4 linked regions of the Saccharomyces cerevisiae S288C genome follow. The protein of the gene in region 1 binds, or shares a complex with, the protein of each later gene. Each region holds a gene or a part of one and is shown in the gene's direction. Other genes may lie near its edges. The genes, in order: SMC4, BRN1, YCG1 and YCS4.

Region 1 (6,676 bases):
CTACAAAGTCTAGTATGGGGATGATTAAAGCGCACACTTTCCTTCGAGACTTCTGATGATGACATTTCCACATTTCCATATATTTCTTTTTTTGTATCGCGAAAAAATGGGAAGAATGGCGTTTCTAACCACTAAAAAAGAGGAATTTTTGCCTAATTTGGGAATTTGTCAATAAAAATGTAAAACATATGAGATGTATTATTGCCTGCGGAAGATTCTTAAAAACATGACAAAATCCAAATTGAAAATGACCTGAAGGTCTCGACTTTTCGGATTTTCATTGTTGCTATGTAAATCTATAGTTAATTATATCCAATTCTGGTAACCAAACCTGTGCTTCGTACACCAATCGGGACCATGCTCATAGTATTCTTCTCTTGTGACCCTCGCTTTTCGGTAGGAATCTGTCTTTGCAAACTGTGACATCACTTCCCACCCAAACAGAGCACAGTCACCTTCGGGCACCGAAACATGACAAGTCCAATCTGTGGGTAATTGCCTTTGTAGTTCTGCCGCAAGCCGTTGGGCGAAATTGGGCAGATTAAAGTTTCCTCCTGTACATACAATGTTTCCTACCATAAGAGGTCGCACTATTTCGGGCAACATGGAAAGGCTCTCTAGGATGGCCTCCACAATGCCTGGTTTAGTAATTTGCGAAATTTCTGGATGGAAAAAAGTTTCTGGTATTGTGAAAAGCTCATCTGTCAGTGTTATGATCTGCGCATCTTCAGGTAACGGTACATTTTCTTTTCTGGGGTTTCTTACGTAACCAAGAAAGCTTGTTTGGAAGTCAGGAAGTACATATTCTAGTGCATGCTTATCCTTCGTTTTGAAACTATCAAAATAAGACACCGGGCTAACGAACAAGCATTGTTCCTTGATATTGTTAACAAGTATGGTTTCATCCATCATATTGTAGTGTCTGAATGATAGAGTTTCCTTTAGTAGCCCAGTTAGGAAACGGCCTCCAATGTCCAATTTTTTTACCGCTTTATAGTACGGTATTCCCTTCAGGACAGGAATTATCCAAGTACAATTAAACCCGGAATCAATAACTAATTGGAAATCATGATAATCGCTACCTGAATCCTGCGCATTCTTGGACTCGCTTGATGTGGAATTTGTACTGTCTGAGTTGCCACGGACAATATCGATATCTTCGTCCTTACCTGAAATTGTTCTCATTTCACCCTTATATGACTTGGTAAATGGTACAAAGACTGCTACAGGAGACTTGAAAAGACTGTCGAATTCATATTCTTCAAATATCACCTGGTCGGCATGCTTACTTAATTCTGGTAAAGTCATACAGCTCTCGCTAGCAACCAAATGATGACCCTTTCCCTCTTTCAGATCAAACCCATCAAACTCTGAAGGATTGAAAAGGCAATAATCCCATATACAACTCTCTAATTCCCATAATGTGAGCTGTCCTAGTTCATGTGGCCTCCTGAAGGTGATAGATGAAATATCTTTGATGTTTTTGATATGATTTGATAAATACGATGTCCCAAATTTATCTTTGGCCAATGCATTTAAAGCTCGGAACGGTTTCTTATTCGTGGAAGGACCAAACTTGATTTCGTATGAGCCATTATCAATCACAATGGGTGGTGTTTCCATAGTTTAAATTATCTTGTCCACGATTCTGCGCTTCTTCTCCTTTGGTCTTGCATTAATTCTCTTGTTCTTCTTGGCCCATTTTGAAATGCATTTGTAATTATGGACGGAAAGTAAACTGTTTACAATAATCACGAAAATACATATAGGTTTACATTATCTACACACTGGAATCGATTTCATACCATAAAAGAGGCCCTATAAGAAGCCGCATCACCTTAAACACTAACCACGTGCAACCAACAGAATATATTTGATGTCTGATAGTCCATTGAGCAAAAGACAAAAGCGGAAGTCCGCCCAAGAACCAGAATTATCTCTTGATCAAGGTGATGCCGAAGAAGATTCGCAGGTAGAAAACCGAGTTAACCTAAGCGAGAATACACCAGAGCCGGATCTTCCTGCGTTGGAAGCATCTTATTCCAAATCTTATACTCCCAGAAAGCTTGTTTTAAGTTCTGGGGAAAATCGGTATGCCTTTTCTCAACCTACAAACTCAACAACCACGTCATTACATGTACCGAACTTGCAACCACCAAAAACCTCTTCTAGGGGTCGCGACCATAAGTCCTACTCTCAATCACCACCAAGGTCTCCAGGAAGATCGCCAACTAGAAGATTAGAATTGCTCCAGCTTTCGCCAGTGAAAAATAGCAGGGTTGAACTACAAAAAATTTATGATAGGCACCAGTCGTCGAGCAAGCAACAGAGCAGACTATTTATTAACGAACTAGTCTTAGAGAACTTCAAGTCCTACGCTGGTAAACAAGTAGTAGGACCCTTTCATACTAGCTTCTCGGCCGTGGTAGGCCCCAATGGTTCAGGTAAATCAAATGTCATCGATTCCATGTTATTTGTATTTGGATTTAGAGCGAACAAGATGAGACAGGACAGATTGTCGGATTTAATTCATAAATCAGAAGCTTTCCCAAGTTTGCAATCATGTTCCGTAGCTGTACATTTTCAGTACGTTATTGATGAATCTTCGGGTACTTCCCGAATCGATGAAGAAAAACCTGGATTGATCATTACAAGGAAAGCCTTTAAAAACAACTCATCGAAATATTACATAAACGAAAAAGAAAGTAGCTACACAGAGGTGACAAAGCTTTTAAAGAATGAGGGTATTGATTTAGACCATAAACGATTTTTAATTCTACAAGGTGAAGTAGAGAATATTGCTCAAATGAAGCCTAAAGCAGAAAAAGAGAGTGACGACGGACTACTGGAATATCTGGAGGACATAATTGGAACTGCAAACTATAAGCCGTTAATTGAAGAGCGAATGGGACAGATTGAGAATCTAAATGAAGTTTGCCTGGAAAAGGAAAATAGATTTGAAATTGTTGATAGAGAAAAAAACTCTTTAGAGTCAGGGAAAGAAACGGCGTTAGAGTTTTTAGAGAAGGAAAAGCAGCTGACGCTTTTAAGATCAAAATTATTTCAATTTAAATTGTTGCAAAGCAACTCTAAACTTGCCAGCACCTTGGAAAAGATCTCCTCTTCGAATAAAGACCTCGAAGATGAGAAGATGAAATTTCAAGAATCTTTGAAAAAAGTGGATGAGATTAAAGCACAACGTAAGGAAATAAAAGATCGAATATCATCTTGTAGCTCGAAAGAAAAGACCCTGGTTTTAGAAAGAAGAGAATTAGAAGGCACCAGGGTGTCTCTAGAAGAGAGAACAAAAAATTTGGTAAGTAAAATGGAAAAAGCAGAAAAGACTTTGAAATCCACCAAACATTCAATATCGGAGGCCGAGAATATGCTTGAAGAGCTTCGTGGACAACAAACCGAACACGAGACGGAGATCAAAGACTTGACTCAATTGCTGGAAAAGGAACGAAGTATACTTGATGATATTAAACTATCTTTGAAAGATAAAACGAAGAATATATCTGCAGAGATTATTCGGCATGAAAAGGAACTGGAGCCTTGGGACCTCCAACTTCAGGAAAAAGAATCACAGATACAATTGGCTGAATCCGAACTATCTTTGTTGGAGGAAACTCAAGCTAAACTGAAAAAAAACGTTGAAACTTTAGAAGAAAAAATTCTTGCCAAGAAAACACACAAGCAGGAGCTACAAGATCTTATCCTCGATCTGAAAAAGAAGCTGAACTCACTTAAAGATGAAAGGTCGCAAGGTGAAAAGAATTTTACTTCTGCTCATCTAAAGTTAAAAGAAATGCAAAAGGTTTTGAACGCGCATCGCCAGCGTGCAATGGAAGCTAGATCCTCTTTATCAAAAGCTCAGAATAAAAGTAAGGTTTTAACAGCTTTATCGAGACTGCAAAAGTCAGGACGTATAAATGGTTTCCATGGACGTTTGGGCGATTTGGGCGTTATCGACGATAGTTTTGACGTTGCTATTTCTACTGCTTGTCCGAGACTAGATGATGTCGTGGTTGATACTGTAGAATGTGCGCAACACTGCATCGACTACTTAAGAAAAAACAAACTTGGTTATGCAAGGTTTATTCTCTTGGATAGGTTACGCCAATTCAATTTACAACCTATCAGTACACCAGAAAATGTACCGAGACTATTTGATTTAGTTAAACCTAAAAACCCAAAATTCTCAAATGCATTTTACAGTGTTCTTAGAGACACTTTGGTTGCTCAGAATTTAAAACAAGCCAATAATGTAGCATATGGGAAGAAAAGATTTAGAGTTGTCACTGTGGATGGGAAATTAATTGATATTTCTGGTACAATGAGTGGTGGTGGCAACCATGTAGCAAAAGGTCTAATGAAATTAGGTACGAATCAGTCAGACAAGGTTGATGATTACACCCCCGAGGAAGTAGATAAAATTGAGCGTGAGCTATCTGAAAGAGAAAATAACTTCCGCGTGGCAAGCGATACGGTCCACGAGATGGAGGAAGAACTGAAAAAATTGAGGGACCACGAACCAGACTTGGAATCACAAATATCAAAGGCAGAAATGGAAGCTGATTCCTTGGCGAGTGAATTGACACTGGCAGAACAACAAGTGAAAGAGGCAGAAATGGCGTACGTCAAGGCAGTTAGTGACAAAGCGCAACTAAACGTGGTGATGAAGAATTTGGAACGCTTGAGAGGCGAATACAATGATTTGCAATCCGAAACAAAAACTAAAAAGGAAAAGATCAAAGGCTTGCAAGACGAAATCATGAAAATTGGTGGTATCAAATTGCAAATGCAAAATTCAAAAGTTGAATCAGTTTGTCAGAAATTGGATATTCTAGTGGCCAAACTTAAAAAAGTCAAATCTGCCTCAAAGAAGTCAGGAGGAGATGTCGTAAAGTTTCAAAAACTGCTCCAAAACTCTGAAAGAGACGTAGAACTATCATCAGATGAGTTAAAAGTCATCGAAGAACAACTAAAACATACAAAACTGGCTTTGGCAGAAAATGACACAAATATGAATGAGACGCTCAACTTGAAAGTTGAATTAAAAGAACAGAGCGAACAACTGAAGGAACAAATGGAGGACATGGAGGAAAGCATCAATGAATTTAAATCTATAGAAATCGAAATGAAGAACAAGCTGGAAAAATTGAACTCACTGTTGACGTACATCAAAAGTGAGATAACGCAGCAAGAAAAAGGATTAAACGAACTATCAATTAGGGATGTAACCCACACCCTGGGAATGTTAGACGATAATAAAATGGACTCAGTGAAAGAGGATGTTAAAAACAATCAAGAACTTGATCAGGAATACCGGTCCTGTGAAACTCAAGATGAGAGTGAAATAAAAGACGCTGAGACTTCTTGTGACAATTATCATCCTATGAACATTGATGAGACTTCAGATGAGGTATCCAGAGGGATACCAAGACTTTCTGAGGACGAATTAAGGGAGTTGGACGTAGAACTGATTGAAAGTAAAATAAATGAATTGTCATATTATGTCGAAGAGACTAACGTGGATATTGGAGTTTTGGAAGAGTACGCTAGGCGCTTAGCAGAGTTCAAAAGAAGGAAGCTGGATTTAAATAATGCTGTTCAAAAAAGAGATGAAGTTAAGGAACAATTAGGAATACTTAAAAAGAAAAGATTTGATGAATTTATGGCTGGCTTTAATATCATATCAATGACCCTAAAAGAAATGTACCAAATGATTACTATGGGTGGAAATGCTGAATTAGAACTTGTGGATAGTCTAGATCCTTTTTCTGAAGGAGTTACGTTTAGTGTTATGCCTCCTAAAAAGAGTTGGAGAAATATAACAAACCTTTCAGGTGGTGAGAAAACACTAAGCTCCTTGGCTTTGGTTTTTGCTTTACATAAGTATAAACCAACCCCCCTTTATGTCATGGATGAAATAGATGCCGCTCTGGATTTCAGAAATGTCTCAATCGTAGCTAACTATATCAAAGAAAGAACCAAGAATGCACAGTTTATTGTTATTTCGCTGAGAAATAACATGTTCGAATTAGCACAACAGTTAGTTGGTGTTTATAAAAGAGATAATAGAACCAAAAGTACCACGATTAAAAACATAGATATCTTAAACAGAACTTAGCTAGTACAATAATCAATTCAAGAGCACTTGCTGATTGTAATATCATGCTATCAAAGAAGTTTAAAGATACTACCCAAATTCCCGCCTGTTTATTTCTTCTTTTGGGCAGCAGTTAGGAAATAAAAAAAAAAAAGGTCAATGATAATGCACCAAAAACAGAAAGTACATGTATATCTTAACAAACTCTCAAAATACAATTTAAACAAAGTTTTTTGAAGCAAAATTCGAATGCAAGATTCATAAATATGGGGCGTAGGAAATCTATACTATATGCAAATATCACGTAGTTAAAAAACTATAAAACATAAACCAGAAATATGGTATCAAGGACTTTTGAATATAATTAGGAACGAGATTAATGCGTATCATCTAGTATCTTGACATACTGCTTTTCTGCAAGATAAACAAGCTTTTGGACGGGGATAACTGCGGTTTGGTGAGTGAATTTCGGAAATTTTTTTCTATTGACACCAAACCATTCCATAGGTGGAGTGGCGTCTCCCAGATCTCTTATCTGAGGCACTTCGATCTGCGGTTCTTCTA
Region 2 (4,713 bases), on another chromosome or scaffold:
AATAAGGAAATATCGCCTGCAAGCGGTTTTTATTTTGGAGTTGTTTTTTTTTTTCCCACAATAGCCTCTAGTTTATTCCATTCTTAGCACTGACTCTTTTTTCCGCCACTATTTCTTATAAAAGGCCCGAATTTCTGGCACGGACGTTGTTTTTAATAATAAAATATTGAATGACAGTTAAAAAATCACGTAGTCAGTTAATCTGTTTAACTTGAAAATATGTCTGAATCAGTGGCCATTATAGGTGCAGGATTAGTAGGCTGCCTTGCAGCTTTGGCATTCTCCAAAGAAGGCTACAATGTCACACTATATGATTTTAGACAAGATCCTCGATTGGACACCACCAAAAATAAAAATTTGAAATCCATTAATTTGGCTATTTCTGCTCGTGGCATTGATGCTCTGAAATCAATAGATCCGGATGCTTGTGAACATATTCTGCAAGATATGATTCCCATGAAAGGCAGGATGATTCATGACTTGAAAGGCAGACAGGAATCACAATTGTATGGCTTGCATGGAGAAGCTATTAATTCTATCAATAGATCTGTATTAAATAATAGCCTTTTGGACGAATTAGAAAAATCTACAACAGAACTGAAGTTCGGTCACAAATTAGTCAAAATCGAATGGACAGATGATAAACAAATCTGTCATTTTGCCATTGGGGAAGATTTGAAAACCCCACATACTGAAAAGTATGATTTTGTCATAGGTTGTGACGGAGCATACTCTGCGACGAGATCGCAAATGCAACGTAAAGTTGAGATGGATTTTTCACAAGAATATATGAATTTACGTTACATTGAACTTTACATCCCGCCTACTGAGGAATTCAAGCCAAACTATGGCGGAAATTTTGCAATAGCTCCTGACCATTTGCACATTTGGCCTCGTCATAAATTCATGTTAATTGCGCTCGCCAACAGTGACGGCTCGTTCACTTCAACCTTTTTCGGTTCTAAAGATCAAATATCAGATCTGATAACTTCCAAGTCACGTGTGAGGGAATTCTTAATCGAGAACTTTCCCGATATTATTAATATTATGGATTTGGACGATGCTGTCAAAAGGTTTATCACTTATCCAAAGGAAAGTCTTGTCTGTGTAAACTGTAAGCCATACGATGTACCAGGCGGAAAGGCCATCCTACTCGGCGACGCTGCCCATGCAATGGTTCCATTTTACGGCCAAGGTATGAATTGCGGATTTGAAGATGTGAGAATTCTTATGGCGCTATTGAAAAAGCATTCAGGAGATCGTTCAAGAGCCTTTACTGAGTACACTCAAACAAGACATAAGGACCTAGTTTCTATTACTGAGCTGGCAAAAAGGAACTATAAAGAAATGTCACATGACGTTACATCCAAGCGGTTTTTATTAAGGAAAAAGCTAGATGCTCTCTTTAGTATTATAATGAAGGATAAGTGGATACCTTTGTATACAATGATATCTTTCAGATCCGATATCTCGTATTCTAGAGCTTTAGAAAGGGCTGGAAAGCAAACACGTATCTTGAAATTCTTAGAATCTCTGACACTCGGTATGTTATCTATTGGCGGTTACAAGCTTTTCAAATTTTTGACAAGAGAACGTTCCTGAAGCCAGTTTATTCTTGCCATCCGTGTACGCTAGGAGAGGATTATTAAAATAAGTGATATATACATATATATATATATATATATATATATAATACACTAATTATTTTATGTGATGTTGATCACGCGAAACGGTAAACGGCTCTGTTCGCGCTTTCTTTGTTTACATTTTAGTGAAGTATTGTCAAGATAATATCCATATGGTTGAACTTTTTATATTGGCTAGTTAAATACTCTATTTATTGCACCAAAAAATCATCTTAGTGGACTTTTTGGAGCAAAAAAAACCAGCAGGTAGTTATATAAGATGACTACACAACTAAGGTATGAAAATAACGATGACGATGAAAGAGTAGAATATAATCTCTTTACCAATAGATCCACCATGATGGCAAATTTTGAAGAATGGATCAAAATGGCTACAGATAATAAAATCAATTCCCGAAATAGTTGGAATTTCGCATTGATCGACTATTTTTATGACTTGGACGTTTTGAAAGATGGCGAGAATAACATCAATTTTCAGAAAGCATCTGCAACCTTGGATGGGTGTATTAAGATTTACTCTTCGAGAGTTGATTCAGTGACAACGGAAACAGGTAAGTTATTGAGCGGGTTGGCACAAAGAAAGACGAATGGGGCATCTAACGGAGATGACAGTAACGGGGGAAATGGTGAAGGGCTTGGAGGTGACAGTGACGAAGCAAATATAGAGATTGATCCCTTAACTGGTATGCCTATATCTAATGATCCTGATGTGAATAACACTAGGCGGAGAGTGTACAACAGAGTTTTAGAAACAACATTGGTGGAGTTCGAAACGATCAAGATGAAAGAGCTAGACCAGGAATTAATAATTGATCCATTATTCAAAAAGGCCTTGGTTGATTTCGATGAAGGTGGCGCCAAGAGTTTATTGTTGAACACATTAAACATAGACAACACTGCAAGAGTCATTTTCGATGCATCAATTAAGGATACACAAAACGTAGGGCAAGGTAAACTTCAAAGGAAAGAAGAAGAATTAATTGAAAGAGATAGTTTAGTAGATGACGAAAATGAACCTAGCCAGTCATTGATAAGTACTCGTAATGACTCAACCGTAAATGATTCCGTTATTAGTGCACCTTCCATGGAAGATGAGATTTTATCTCTTGGTATGGATTTTATAAAATTTGATCAAATTGCGGTGTGTGAAATTTCAGGATCGATTGAGCAACTAAGGAACGTTGTCGAAGATATTAATCAAGCGAAAGACTTTATCGAAAATGTTAACAACAGATTTGATAACTTCTTAACTGAAGAAGAATTGCAAGCAGCTGTCCCAGATAATGCAGAAGATGATAGCGATGGCTTTGATATGGGCATGCAACAGGAGCTGTGCTATCCAGATGAAAATCATGACAATACATCACATGATGAACAAGATGATGATAATGTCAACAGTACCACAGGAAGTATATTCGAAAAAGATTTGATGGCATACTTTGACGAAAATCTAAATAGAAACTGGAGAGGGAGAGAACATTGGAAAGTACGAAATTTTAAGAAAGCAAACTTAGTGAATAAAGAATCCGACCTGTTGGAAGAAACGCGAACTACTATAGGAGATACTACTGACAAAAACACAACGGACGACAAATCGATGGATACGAAGAAGAAGCATAAACAAAAAAAGGTTCTGGAAATTGATTTCTTCAAAACGGATGATAGTTTTGAAGACAAAGTCTTTGCCTCAAAAGGAAGGACAAAGATTGACATGCCGATTAAGAACAGAAAGAACGACACACATTATTTACTGCCGGATGACTTCCATTTTTCCACTGATAGAATAACAAGATTGTTCATTAAACCGGGGCAGAAAATGAGTCTGTTCAGTCATAGGAAGCATACCAGAGGCGACGTTAGTTCGGGGCTTTTTGAAAAAAGCACAGTTTCTGCCAACCATTCAAATAACGACATTCCTACTATTGCAGATGAGCACTTTTGGGCGGATAATTACGAAAGGAAAGAACAAGAGGAAAAAGAAAAGGAGCAGTCTAAAGAGGTTGGTGATGTGGTGGGTGGAGCGCTCGATAATCCGTTTGAAGATGACATGGACGGTGTTGACTTCAACCAAGCTTTCGAAGGAACAGATGATAACGAGGAGGCCAGTGTGAAACTTGATTTACAGGATGACGAAGATCATAAGTTCCCCATTCGAGAAAATAAAGTTACTTATTCAAGAGTTTCGAAAAAAGTTGACGTAAGAAGATTAAAGAAAAACGTATGGAGATCGATCAACAATTTGATACAAGAACATGACAGTAGGAAAAATAGAGAACAAAGCTCTAATGACAGTGAAACCCACACAGAAGATGAATCAACAAAGGAGCTCAAGTTTTCTGATATCATTCAGGGTATAAGTAAAATGTATTCGGATGATACACTAAAGGACATTTCAACAAGCTTTTGTTTTATATGCCTTCTACACTTAGCCAATGAGCATGGGTTGCAGATAACTCATACCGAAAACTATAATGACTTGATAGTGAATTATGAGGATCTAGCGACAACACAGGCAGCGTCATAGTTGATGATCTTTTTTTTTTTTTTTTTTTTTTTTTTTGTGCTGCAAAGTTTCTTAAAGCCTTCGGGCTTACGAAATCCTTTATCGCCGAAAGGGGACCGCTTCGAAAAGTGGATATAAAACAAGGTATTTATTTTTATAGACAATGACCAAATGACAGGATAGATCGAGGGTGAGTTCCAATATGTCCAGAACTATTCCATTTCTATTTAAATTAGTCAACAGGGCAGTAATTTTGCCTACGGCAGGTTTTACATTAGGAGTTGGTGCGTTTGTAAAGGCGTGGCCCGATGATGCCGGTGTTCTATCATTGAATGATCCGCAAACGCCAGCGGAGTTGATTAGTGCGACCAAGAGCCGCCAACCTATGGAGCTGCAGAGGGTTGACATCCTCGCTCAAATCGAGAAAAGCGAGGTTTACAACAAGTTGGCCCAGGATGAGAAGATGCACCATGTCTTATTCAGTGAGAAAATACCAAGCGGGCATAGGGAATATCATGTAGGACAAGGCCTCTTGTTCGGCAAGGGGAAGCTTGAAATTGATCC
Region 3 (5,336 bases), on another chromosome or scaffold:
AAAAACTTTAGTGGTAGAGGGCCTCCCTACGACTAAAACTTGTCCATCAGGTGATAAAGAACAAGTTGAGATATTCTGGTCATCTTTTAAAGTTAACTTGCAAACTAGCTTATAATTCTGTTCTGTACTAGAATCGGTTCCCATTGTCCATATCTTAACAGTAGATTCGCTCCATGAAACAACAAGGCGTTGCTCTTTGTTAACTAAAACATTCTTTGAATAAGGTTCGACAGTTGGCATCTTCCTGTAGTTTCCATTAGAAAAAGAAGTAAGTGAGTTGATGACTAGTGTTTTTTCAACACCTCCTGAAACTAGAAAATCTGCACCTTTAGATTGGTATGCACATATTGCTCTAATGTCGTTTCCATGAAGCAACCTATTAGAAGAATTTACCCATCTGTTGTTCTTTTGAGATTTGTTAGTGTTTTGAGAAAATTGAAAGATTTTTCTGTCCACACCAGCACTAAAAACATAATTATTATCAGTATCGGTAGTTAGACACAGTACGTCTGCATCGTGCGCCTTAAATGACTGGTTTAGCGTGGCAAACTGGAAATCCCAGAATTTAATGGAGCCTGTAGAATCACCAGAGGCAATCTGATCAGTTCTTGGTAAATATATAACTGACCAAACTAGAGTTGATTCTTTTTTGGCCTTGTCGACCTTCATAGTGTGTAATAGACGACCCATGTTTTCGTCATTTTTTTGTGCAGACCAAATCCTTATTCTACCATCAGAACAACCACCAATCACGAAGTCATCCTTTTTCCAAGCCAAAGTCAATACTCTGGCTTCTTGTCTCATCAAAATAGTATCGTGTTCCAAGACACCAGGCCCGCCAGAGATATCTATGAGGACCACCGTCCCATTATCGCAACCCACAGACAGCTTGTCTTGTGAATCGTTGATGGAAATAGACCATATCACACCTGAATTGCAATCATAGTTTCTTAATGGTAAACCTGTTGCTAAATCCCATTCTGTTACCACAGTCGAGCCGCCAATAGAAAATAGCCTTAGAGACTCGCCGTTAACGTTGCTCCAGCAAAGGCCTTCAATTGATCTGTCTTTGCCACCTTCGATAACCATTTCCTGAAACCAATTGTTTCTAGGATTCCAGATTTCTATGTTACCATTAGATCTACCAATAGCTAATCTCAAATCGGACGGAGTTAACTTATTTATATTTGATTTATGTGAAAATGCTAGAGATGTGATTGTGGCAGGAGTGAAATCCACAAATCTGCATCTATGCACTATCATCCTTTCCTGACTGGTCATCTTCACCGGTTTGTTTCGTATTTTCAGGCTTCTTGACTTTTCTTTTAAAACTGAAAGTAGCGATGAGCTCATTCGTAGCTTTTTTCTTGTCAGTCTGAAAATTTTTCATTTGGTTTTTTGAAAAAAATCCTGCCTAATATGGTATCAAGAGGAATAACAAGAAAAAAAAATCATGGGGGATACAAAGGAAAACAAGGAGATAATGCAGGTTATACTGAATTGCTCATAGTATTAGCCTAAAGCACTTTACCTCTGATTTATTGCATCTATCGTATTCTTGAGTTATTGCGACTTTTAAAATCCGTGCACCGCATATGAAAGGGTAGAGCCTTCGTGTTTGTTTACCTTTTTAGCTCTTTGAAGATCAAACAAAAACACTTCAGTAATGCCTACAGCCTTGGATAAGACAAAGAAGTTAACAGGCCGCGCCCATCATGCAAGATCCTGATGGTATTGACATTAATACGAAAATCTTTAACTCAGTTGCTGAAGTATTTCAAAAGGCACAGGGTTCTTATGCAGGACACAGGAAGCATATAGCAGTTTTGAAGAAAATTCAGTCAAAGGCTGTTGAGCAAGGCTATGAAGATGCTTTTAACTTTTGGTTCGATAAATTAGTTACTAAGATCCTTCCTCTGAAAAAGAATGAGATTATCGGAGACAGGATAGTAAAGTTAGTAGCTGCATTTATAGCTTCTTTAGAAAGGGAGTTGATATTGGCCAAAAAACAAAACTATAAGCTCACGAATGATGAAGAAGGGATATTCTCAAGGTTCGTCGATCAGTTCATAAGACATGTTTTGCGTGGTGTGGAAAGCCCTGACAAGAACGTCAGATTTAGAGTTTTACAGTTATTAGCCGTTATAATGGATAATATAGGGGAAATCGATGAATCACTTTTCAATTTATTAATATTGTCTTTAAATAAGAGGATTTATGATAGAGAACCAACGGTTAGGATACAGGCTGTGTTTTGTTTAACTAAATTTCAGGATGAAGAGCAAACTGAACATTTAACTGAGCTTTCTGATAATGAAGAAAATTTTGAAGCTACGAGAACTCTAGTTGCTTCTATCCAGAACGATCCGTCAGCTGAAGTACGGAGGGCTGCAATGCTGAATTTGATCAATGATAATAATACTAGACCGTATATCTTGGAGAGGGCTAGAGATGTAAACATCGTTAATAGAAGGCTCGTGTATTCGAGAATTTTGAAATCAATGGGAAGAAAGTGTTTCGATGATATTGAGCCGCATATTTTTGATCAATTGATTGAGTGGGGTTTAGAAGATAGGGAATTATCAGTGAGAAATGCGTGTAAGAGACTCATTGCTCATGATTGGTTAAATGCTCTGGATGGCGATTTGATAGAATTACTAGAAAAATTGGATGTCTCAAGATCCTCAGTGTGTGTTAAGGCTATAGAAGCACTTTTTCAATCAAGGCCAGATATATTATCTAAAATCAAATTTCCTGAAAGTATTTGGAAAGACTTTACCGTAGAAATTGCCTTCCTCTTTCGGGCTATTTATTTGTACTGTTTGGATAATAATATAACAGAAATGCTGGAAGAAAACTTTCCAGAAGCCTCAAAATTATCCGAGCATTTAAACCATTATATTCTTCTCAGATATCATCACAACGACATTTCTAATGACTCTCAGTCGCATTTTGATTATAACACTTTAGAGTTTATTATTGAGCAACTATCGATTGCCGCCGAAAGGTATGATTATAGCGATGAGGTTGGAAGGAGATCGATGCTTACAGTGGTACGAAATATGCTGGCCTTAACTACACTCTCCGAACCTCTTATTAAAATTGGTATTCGTGTAATGAAAAGTCTGTCCATAAATGAAAAAGATTTTGTAACAATGGCAATAGAAATCATTAATGATATTAGAGACGACGATATTGAAAAACAAGAACAAGAAGAGAAAATAAAAAGCAAGAAGATTAATCGCAGAAATGAGACTTCCGTCGATGAAGAGGACGAAAACGGCACACATAATGACGAAGTTAACGAGGATGAAGAAGACGACAATATTTCATCCTTCCATTCTGCTGTAGAAAACTTAGTGCAGGGAAACGGCAACGTATCTGAGAGTGACATAATAAATAATCTCCCACCCGAAAAGGAAGCGTCCTCAGCAACAATTGTTCTCTGTCTTACAAGGTCATCATATATGCTAGAACTAGTTAACACACCGTTAACAGAAAACATTTTAATTGCGTCGTTGATGGACACTTTGATCACACCAGCGGTTAGAAATACCGCGCCAAATATTAGGGAGCTTGGTGTCAAGAACCTTGGTTTATGTTGTCTCTTGGATGTGAAGTTGGCTATTGATAACATGTACATCTTAGGTATGTGCGTTTCGAAAGGTAATGCATCATTAAAGTATATTGCGTTACAAGTCATTGTAGATATTTTTTCCGTACATGGGAACACTGTGGTAGACGGAGAAGGCAAAGTTGACTCAATCTCGTTGCACAAAATATTTTACAAGGTTTTAAAGAATAACGGTTTACCGGAATGTCAGGTGATAGCAGCGGAGGGTTTATGCAAACTATTTTTGGCAGACGTGTTCACTGATGATGATTTGTTTGAAACGTTGGTTTTGTCATATTTTTCGCCGATAAATTCCTCAAACGAAGCGCTGGTACAGGCATTTGCCTTCTGCATTCCAGTCTATTGTTTTTCACATCCTGCTCATCAACAACGTATGTCTAGGACGGCTGCGGACATACTCTTAAGACTATGTGTTCTTTGGGACGATTTACAGAGCTCTGTAATACCTGAGGTAGACCGTGAAGCTATGCTAAAGCCTAACATAATATTTCAACAGTTGCTATTTTGGACTGATCCACGTAACTTAGTTAACCAGACAGGTTCAACAAAAAAAGATACAGTGCAGCTTACATTCTTGATCGATGTGCTCAAAATATACGCTCAAATTGAGAAGAAAGAAATAAAGAAGATGATCATCACTAATATAAACGCTATATTTCTTTCTTCTGAACAAGATTATTCTACTTTGAAAGAACTTCTTGAGTATTCTGACGATATTGCAGAAAATGATAATTTAGACAATGTTAGCAAAAATGCTCTGGACAAGCTAAGGAATAATTTGAATTCGCTGATTGAAGAGATCAATGAAAGGTCAGAAACTCAGACAAAAGATGAGAACAACACTGCGAATGACCAATACTCGTCTATTTTGGGGAATTCATTCAATAAATCTTCAAATGACACCATAGAACACGCTGCTGATATAACTGATGGAAATAACACAGAATTGACTAAAACAACTGTTAATATTTCGGCAGTTGACAATACAACAGAGCAAAGTAACTCAAGGAAAAGAACGAGATCAGAAGCGGAGCAAATTGACACATCCAAAAACCTGGAAAACATGAGTATTCAAGACACGTCAACTGTAGCAAAAAATGTAAGTTTTGTTTTACCTGACGAGAAATCAGATGCAATGTCCATAGATGAAGAAGATAAGGATTCAGAGTCTTTCAGCGAGGTCTGTTAAAATTGATATGCGAGCTCTTCATCTATTTAAGTTGATTTTTTGGTTGTAAACATATTTGTATTTTATTCTTAGGTTTGTTAATTCTTCTACGCTTACCAGATATAGATGCTATATGTTATTGCATTACGCACATTACCCGGTGGGACAAATTATGGAAATATTCCAAGGCTATAAATTCTTTGGTGAAAGGAACTGAAATTATGTCCAGTAATGCACCAGAAATGGACATATAAAACTATTAATGCATTTTATTACAATTATCCTAAGAAAATATCCTATATATAATTAAAGTAAAAGAAATAAGATCAAAAGAACAAAATAAAGTCGAGTAGAATTTTCCTACTTGACTATATTAGAACGAAAAATGTTATTTTATCAAAGTAATTGGTTAGTAGCCGACGTGTTATCCGTTTGGGCCAATAATTCTTTCATTTCTTGCAGCTGCAATTCGGTGATTTTTATAGATTCAACTAGCTGCTGTATTTTATGATCACTAACTCCATTTACGAGCTT
Region 4 (5,956 bases), 380 kb from region 1:
TCGTGATTATTTTTATAAGTCGCCGTCACCCTAACCATCGCCCATATTACAATAATAACAAAATCCTTGGAATGAAGAGAATAAAATTTTAATTAAAATTAATAAAATAGTTAATCATATTCTTTTGCCTTCATAGATTAGATATGAAATATTTTGCTCACATAAGTTAATATTGCTTTTGCATTTTTGTTTCTGACTTTAGTTTCTCATTAGTCGAAATGACTTTAGTTCTTTAGAAATATTTTAAATTCAGTGGGGGATTTTCGTTCTTTATTGGTGCAAATAACGATTAGTTTTTCATTTCACGATATTTAGCTGCAGTTGATAGGTGATATATCTGCTTTAACTCTTACCTTTACAGTTTGTGATGAAATGATAGGTTTAAACAGTCGTTTAAAGAGTTGTATAACAAAAGGACTCTTAACAATCGAAGTTTTTTTAACATGTTAACACCATCTTTAGTAAACGTTATATTATTGAGTATGTGAAATATACTAGAAGTTCTCCTCGAGAATATACGAATCAATAAAAGAGAAACAATATTTCTCCACAAAATCTTATAATTATTACACCTTTCGTTTTATATGTTTCATTGTCCTATTACATTATCAGTCCTTGCATTTCAGCTTCCATTATATTTGATGACTGTTTCCCAATCTTTATGCCATCTTGTTACACCGCATATGATAATAGATTCTAGTAACATGAATACTACTAATAAATGATATTTTAGAGTTTCATTTCAACAAATATACTATGTGAAACAGTAGTCAAATTTAATATGAAACCGAACATGCGAGAATTGAGGATTAATAGGATGTGAAACATATAAAATGGAAGAAAGATAATTACAAAATTTTGTGGAGAAATGTTGTTTCCATGTTATTGAGTCTTATATCCTTGAGGAGAAACTTCTAGTATATTGTGTATACATAATATTATATTGCCTTAAGCAAAATGGAATCCCAACAATTATCAAATTATTCACCAATTGATCATACACAATAGTTGATTATCATTTCAACATTATAACCTTATACAGAGAGTAATATACTAATGGATGAATACTACCAGTAGAATAAGACATAAACAAATATGATTAATGTCACTTTTTGCTTTTTTGCCGTCATTCTTTTTTATTTTTGTATAATTGGTGGTGTAACGTGGATTAAACATAAATAATAGGTTTCGTGGTCTAGTCGGTTATGGCATCTGCTTAACACGCAGAACGTCCCCAGTTCGATCCTGGGCGAAATCATTTTTTATACCTGTTATATTTCATAGAAATGTAGTAGTATTGCGAGATGAATAAAATGTCTGCTATTCAATAGTAAGGGCTTCTTTCCCCCACCTCTTTTGTTTGATTTTAAAATTATTATCAAGTAACGCGTTGTTTTCTTGTCGCGAGCCTTTTATTTACAACGAGTAAGGGTCAGGATATCTATGGAGTTTCTAGCTTGATCGTTATCACAAACTTTACTACTAAATGATAATTGTTGGTATGAACAGTATATATATATATATATATACATGTTCTGATCTTGAAAAAAAAATAAATAAAAAATGTTATTGATTGCAAGAATTTGGAAAGCAATTCATATGAGAAATTAAAATAACCAATTCCAGATTCTTTTTTTTTTTTTTCACTTTTCGAATTAAGTATCTTAAATACTGCACTTGTATATTTATATTCTTACTGTTGTAAAAAGAAAGACTAATGGCCTTTGTCAATTGCACTTTGGGTAAATTGGAAAGCAATAATATGAAAATTAAACGCATCGCGAAAATCTTGCGACCATTTAGTAAACAAAGAAAATAACCTGTCACTGACCAAAAAAAAGAAAGGTAAAGGAAGCAGCAGTAACAATATCTTTATCCTTTGATAGGTGGTAACTGACTTCGTTACTTTATGAGATGTCCGGCTTTAGCCTTTCCGAGTATCTGACCAAGTTCCAAACAACAGATCGAGAATCATATCCTCGCTTGCAGGACCCATCCAGAGAACTGAATGTTATCATAGACCAATTGGCCGTTTCACCCGAACAAATAGATGCTAGTCCAGATTCACTAGAAGCATTAATAGATCTTTGCCATGACTTCCCGCACTTAACACCGAAATTACAAACTCAACTAAGCTATTTGATAAGTTCATCTCTGTCGAATCTGTCAAAAGATATTAAGGCTAATCTCTCATCAAATGTTAACTTTACTGAAATTGGTGGCCTGATACCGCAGTGGAAAAGGCATTTAGAAGAGTATGGCTACCTTATTCAGGTACTTTTGACGTTTTTACAAGATGAGTTACATAAGGTCTCCTCGCAGTCTACCAATCTAAACCGTTCTGCCAAAAACAGTAAGAATGATAGTGCAAACGTCGAGCTGTTTAAAAGAGACTGTAATCAAATGGAAAACTTGCTTGAATCTATAACAAAGCTACTGGAGATTAACTTATCTAAGATATTTCAGACAACTCCTGAAAAGGATTTGTTTATTGGTTTGTTCACAAGACCATTATTTGTGTTATTAGAGATTGAACCTGTGACGAAGGTATCATCACTAAAGATGTTTATTCAAAGGATTTTGGCTATGTGTGTTAAAAATCACGGTCAAAGTTCAAGTATACAAAGTTCATTGATGACAAATTTAACTTATTTTCTTCATTTGTCGGTTTTTAATGCAGAATTACTAAAACTATTGAATGATGAATATAACTATCCACAACTAACAGAAGATATCTTGAAAGAAATCAGCACCAGGGTATTTAACGCAAAGGATACCACAGGCCCAAAGGCAATATCAAATTTTTTGATTAAATTATCAGAGCTATCACCAGGAATAATGCTTCGACAGATGAATCTTGTCATCACCTTACTCAACAATAGTTCTATAACATTGAGATGTTCCGTTGTAGAAGCATGTGGAAATATTGTGGCTGAATTGGCTCAAGACCCACAAACTATGGAACATTATAAACAACAAATAGCCGTACTTATTGAGTTACTAGAAGAAAGATTCCAGGATTCAAATCCCTACGTTAGAACGAAGGCGATACAAGGGTGTTCAAAGATCTGCGATTTGAGTTCGAAATTTAACAAAAGCAAAGCTAAATTTACTTCGTTGGCAGTACGATCATTGCAGGACCGCTCCTCTTTAGTTCGTAGGAACTCAGTAAAGTTACTTTCAAAATTATTGCTAAAACATCCTTTTAAGGCCATACATGGTAGCCAATTGAGGCTGAGTGAATGGGAAGAATATCTCAAAGGATCTGAATCACAGCTAAATTCCACTTTAAAGAAAGTAGAGTCACAAGAAACTCTGAATGACACGATTGAAAGGTCTTTGATTGAAGAAGAGGTAGAACAAGATGAAGGTCAATGTAGGACCGAGTTAGAAGGTTCTTTCAATAAGAGCGCAGAACTTTCTAGAATAGAAAATGAGGTAGAGAATATAAATGCAACAAATACCAGTGTTCTCATGAAGCTAAAGTTAATGATTGTTTACTATAAAGATGCCATTAGTTTCATTAAAGAGATACACAAGAGTATTGAATTGATATCTAATTTGCTGTTTTCTAAGAACAGAAACGAAGTTTTAGAATCAATGGACTTCCTAGTTTTAGCAGACGCTTTTGACATTGAGTTAAGCGAATTTGGTATAAAAAAAATGCTGCATTTGGTTTGGATGAAGGGCACAAACGATGAAGGAACGAGTATATCAGTACATTTGATAGAATGTTATAAGCAGCTATTTTTAACCGCGCCAGATAGTTGCAATATGCAGGAGAAGGCGGCACATATTGCCAAAAATTTAATTAATCTAAGCATCGGCGCATCTATTGCAGACTTGGCCTCTTTGGAACAGCTATTAGGAATGATGTATGAACAAAAATTGATTGATCAACATGTCATTAATATCCTTTGGGCTATTTACAATTCTGCATCGAAGGCCAGTATGCAGAAAGAACAAAATGTGAACAACCGTGACTCCGAAAAAGGGTTTTCTAAGGAACAAATTCATGGTTCTATTATTATTTTAGGAATGTTATCGTTAGCCGATAACGAAATAGCATTAAAAGGACTGGAGTCACTTTTAAACATTGGACTTGGTGCCGTTGGTTTAAAAGATCTGACCCTTTGTCGGTATTCTTGTTTAGCGTTAGAGAGAATGGTTCCCAAGAGAAGCACTATTATTACCAAGGCAATAAATCAAGAGCTTGAAGATGTTGCAGTGAAAAAGTTGTATGCCATAATTATCAACTATACCAAGGATAATGAATATTATCCTATGTGCGAACAAGCGCTTAGTGCACTGTTTACAATCTCTTCTAAGCCCGATATACTAGCTACAGATCTGATTAGAGAAAAGACAATGATGACATTTGGTAAACCTGAAGAGGAAGACTCTATTTTGTCGTTAGAACAATCATCTAGAGTTGTTTCTCTCAGTCAATTATTATTCATTGTAGGACAAGTGGCAATTAAAACACTTGTCTATCTAGAGAAATGTGAGGCAGAATTCAAGAAAAGAAAGATCGAGGCAGAAACTCGGAACGGTAAAGTAAAAAACCAAGGTGCAGATGTAACTAACACCACACAAGATAACGGTGGTGATAAAGAGCTAGAAATGATAGGAGGTACTAATGAGGACGATTTCACGGATGCTATTCAATTTGTAAAAGAGAATGAATTACTATTTGGAGAAAAATCTATATTAGGGAAGTTTTGCCCAATTGTAGAAGAGATTGTTTCTAATTCAAGCAGGTTTAGCGATCCAATGCTTCAAAGAACGGCAACCTTATGTCTAGAAAAACTAATGTGTTTATCATCAAAATATTGTGAAAAGAGCCTGCCGCTATTAATCACAGTAATGGAAAAATCTCCTGATCCTACTATTCGCTCAAATGCTGTCTTAGGACTAGGTGACATGGCAGTATGCTTCAACAACTTAGTAGACGAAAACACAGATTATTTGTATCGCCGTTTGCATGATGAAAACTTAATGGTACAAAGAACATGTTTAATGACAGTTACCTTCTTGATTTTAGCTGGACAGGTTAAGGTTAAAGGACAATTAGGAGAAATGGCCAAATGCCTAGACAATCCAGACCAGGGAATAAGTGATATGTGCAGATTATTTTTCACCGAGTTAGCATCCAAGGACAACGCCATTTATAATGGATTCATCGATATCTTTAGTAATTTATCGTCAGATGATTTATTGGGTAAGGAGAGTTTCAAGAAAATCATCAAATTTCTGTTAACTTTTATCGATAAGGAACGGCACCAAAAGCAATTAAACGAGAAATTAGTTGGAAGACTGAGAAAGTGCGAGACCCAAAAGCAATGGGATGATATTGCATTCGTACTAAACAATCTACCATACAAAAATGAAGACGTCACTGCATTATTGGAGCAAGGTTTCAAGGTTGTATCCGCAAAAGAATAATCGAACTGACGTTTACCCGTTTCTTCCGTTTTATATTATATGTTATTATATAAATAAAAGCTGTTCATTTCTTTCTTCTTGAAATATGACTTTACCTATCTCGATAAAATTCATTTGTGGTCGTCTTCATTCACTCCTGGGCAATGCTCGTAGAGATCACCTTCATCCTTATACTTGATTCCGCAAAAAAAACAGTAGTACTTCTCGGACCTCAGGAATATATTCAATTTTGTTATTCTTTTTTCAATGCTCAATTCTTCTAATTCAGCAAGTTCTGTGTCTTTTGTAATGCGACTACCGATAATTGAAGTATCACAATCTATTAATGTAGAAGGACGTCCAAACTTTTCACCTTTTATTGCAGGCGAAGCCTCCAAACTTTCATTTACCATTGGTATCATATTATTCTTATCTTCATTATCATTGTTACTGTGATTATTTAGGTCATTTTTTGCTACTTCCTCATTTAGTTGCATAACGTAAGATCTCCAAAGTACGTTAAAGTCTCTCG

What was found.
Region 2: the proteins of SMC4 (region 1) and BRN1 are in contact, whole or in part, in a cryo-EM structure (PDB 6YVU), measured with the Saccharomyces cerevisiae proteins. Residues at the interface, in NP_013187.1 of Saccharomyces cerevisiae: Pro175 (codon at 2,399), Val184 (codon at 2,426), Gly185 (codon at 2,429), Pro186 (codon at 2,432), Asn187 (codon at 2,435), Ser189 (codon at 2,441), Ile363 (codon at 2,963), Glu367 (codon at 2,975), Lys368 (codon at 2,978), Leu371 (codon at 2,987), Asn1385 (codon at 6,029), Phe1388 (codon at 6,038), Leu1394 (codon at 6,056), Val1395 (codon at 6,059), Gly1396 (codon at 6,062), Val1397 (codon at 6,065), Tyr1398 (codon at 6,068), Lys1399 (codon at 6,071), Arg1400 (codon at 6,074), Thr1407 (codon at 6,095), Thr1408 (codon at 6,098), Ile1409 (codon at 6,101), Lys1410 (codon at 6,104), Asn1411 (codon at 6,107), Ile1412 (codon at 6,110), Asp1413 (codon at 6,113), Ile1414 (codon at 6,116); in NP_009455.3 of Saccharomyces cerevisiae: Leu101 (codon at 2,206), Lys108 (codon at 2,227), Ser693 (codon at 3,982), Ser712 (codon at 4,039), Thr713 (codon at 4,042), Ser714 (codon at 4,045), Phe715 (codon at 4,048), Phe717 (codon at 4,054), Ile718 (codon at 4,057), Leu721 (codon at 4,066), His722 (codon at 4,069), Ala724 (codon at 4,075), Asn725 (codon at 4,078), Leu729 (codon at 4,090), Gln730 (codon at 4,093), Ile731 (codon at 4,096), His733 (codon at 4,102), Asn736 (codon at 4,111), Tyr737 (codon at 4,114), Asn738 (codon at 4,117), Leu740 (codon at 4,123).
Region 3: SMC4 (region 1) and YCG1 share a complex: the UniProt entries of both Saccharomyces cerevisiae proteins name them as parts of the condensin complex.
Region 4: the proteins of SMC4 (region 1) and YCS4 are in contact, whole or in part, in a cryo-EM structure (PDB 6YVU), measured with the Saccharomyces cerevisiae proteins. Residues at the interface, in NP_013187.1 of Saccharomyces cerevisiae: Gln1283 (codon at 5,723), Asn1290 (codon at 5,744), Val1296 (codon at 5,762), Asp1297 (codon at 5,765), Ser1298 (codon at 5,768), Leu1299 (codon at 5,771), Asp1300 (codon at 5,774), Ser1303 (codon at 5,783), Met1311 (codon at 5,807), Lys1314 (codon at 5,816), Ser1316 (codon at 5,822), Trp1317 (codon at 5,825), Arg1360 (codon at 5,954); in NP_013374.1 of Saccharomyces cerevisiae: Glu901 (codon at 4,615), Val1006 (codon at 4,930), Cys1007 (codon at 4,933), Val1012 (codon at 4,948), Glu1014 (codon at 4,954), Ala1044 (codon at 5,044), Gly1045 (codon at 5,047), Gln1046 (codon at 5,050), Gly1088 (codon at 5,176), Ile1090 (codon at 5,182), Asp1091 (codon at 5,185), Gln1126 (codon at 5,290), Glu1129 (codon at 5,299), Lys1130 (codon at 5,302).

The regions. Positions count from the first base shown.
Region 1 is NC_001144.5:300,367-307,042, forward strand, and holds SMC4 (condensin subunit SMC4), read left to right. Parts: upstream 1-1,876; coding exon 1,877-6,133; downstream 6,134-6,676. Other genes in the region: ARP6 (Arp6p), read right to left, coding at 307-1,623; CSF1 (Csf1p), read right to left, coding at 6,489-6,676. UniProt on the Saccharomyces cerevisiae protein: Central component of the condensin complex, a complex required for conversion of interphase chromatin into mitotic-like condense chromosomes.
Region 2 is NC_001134.8:38,926-43,638, forward strand, and holds BRN1 (condensin subunit BRN1), read left to right. Parts: upstream 1-1,905; coding exon 1,906-4,170; downstream 4,171-4,713. Other genes in the region: BNA4 (kynurenine 3-monooxygenase), read left to right, coding at 220-1,602; MRX3 (Mrx3p), read left to right, coding at 4,352-4,713. UniProt on the Saccharomyces cerevisiae protein: Regulatory subunit of the condensin complex, a complex required for conversion of interphase chromatin into mitotic-like condense chromosomes.
Region 3 is NC_001136.10:1,115,411-1,120,746, forward strand, and holds YCG1 (condensin subunit YCG1), read left to right. Parts: upstream 1-1,715; coding exon 1,716-4,823; downstream 4,824-5,336. Other genes in the region: small subunit rRNA maturation protein UTP4, read right to left, coding at 1-1,353; YSP2 (Ysp2p), read right to left, coding at 5,199-5,336. UniProt on the Saccharomyces cerevisiae protein: Regulatory subunit of the condensin complex, a complex required for conversion of interphase chromatin into mitotic-like condense chromosomes.
Region 4 is NC_001144.5:683,161-689,116, reverse strand, and holds YCS4 (condensin subunit YCS4), read left to right. Parts: upstream 1-1,914; coding exon 1,915-5,445; downstream 5,446-5,956. Other genes in the region: protein phosphatase regulator PIG1, read left to right, coding at 1-34; CMG1 (Cmg1p), read right to left, coding at 5,556-5,956. UniProt on the Saccharomyces cerevisiae protein: Regulatory subunit of the condensin complex, a complex required for conversion of interphase chromatin into mitotic-like condense chromosomes.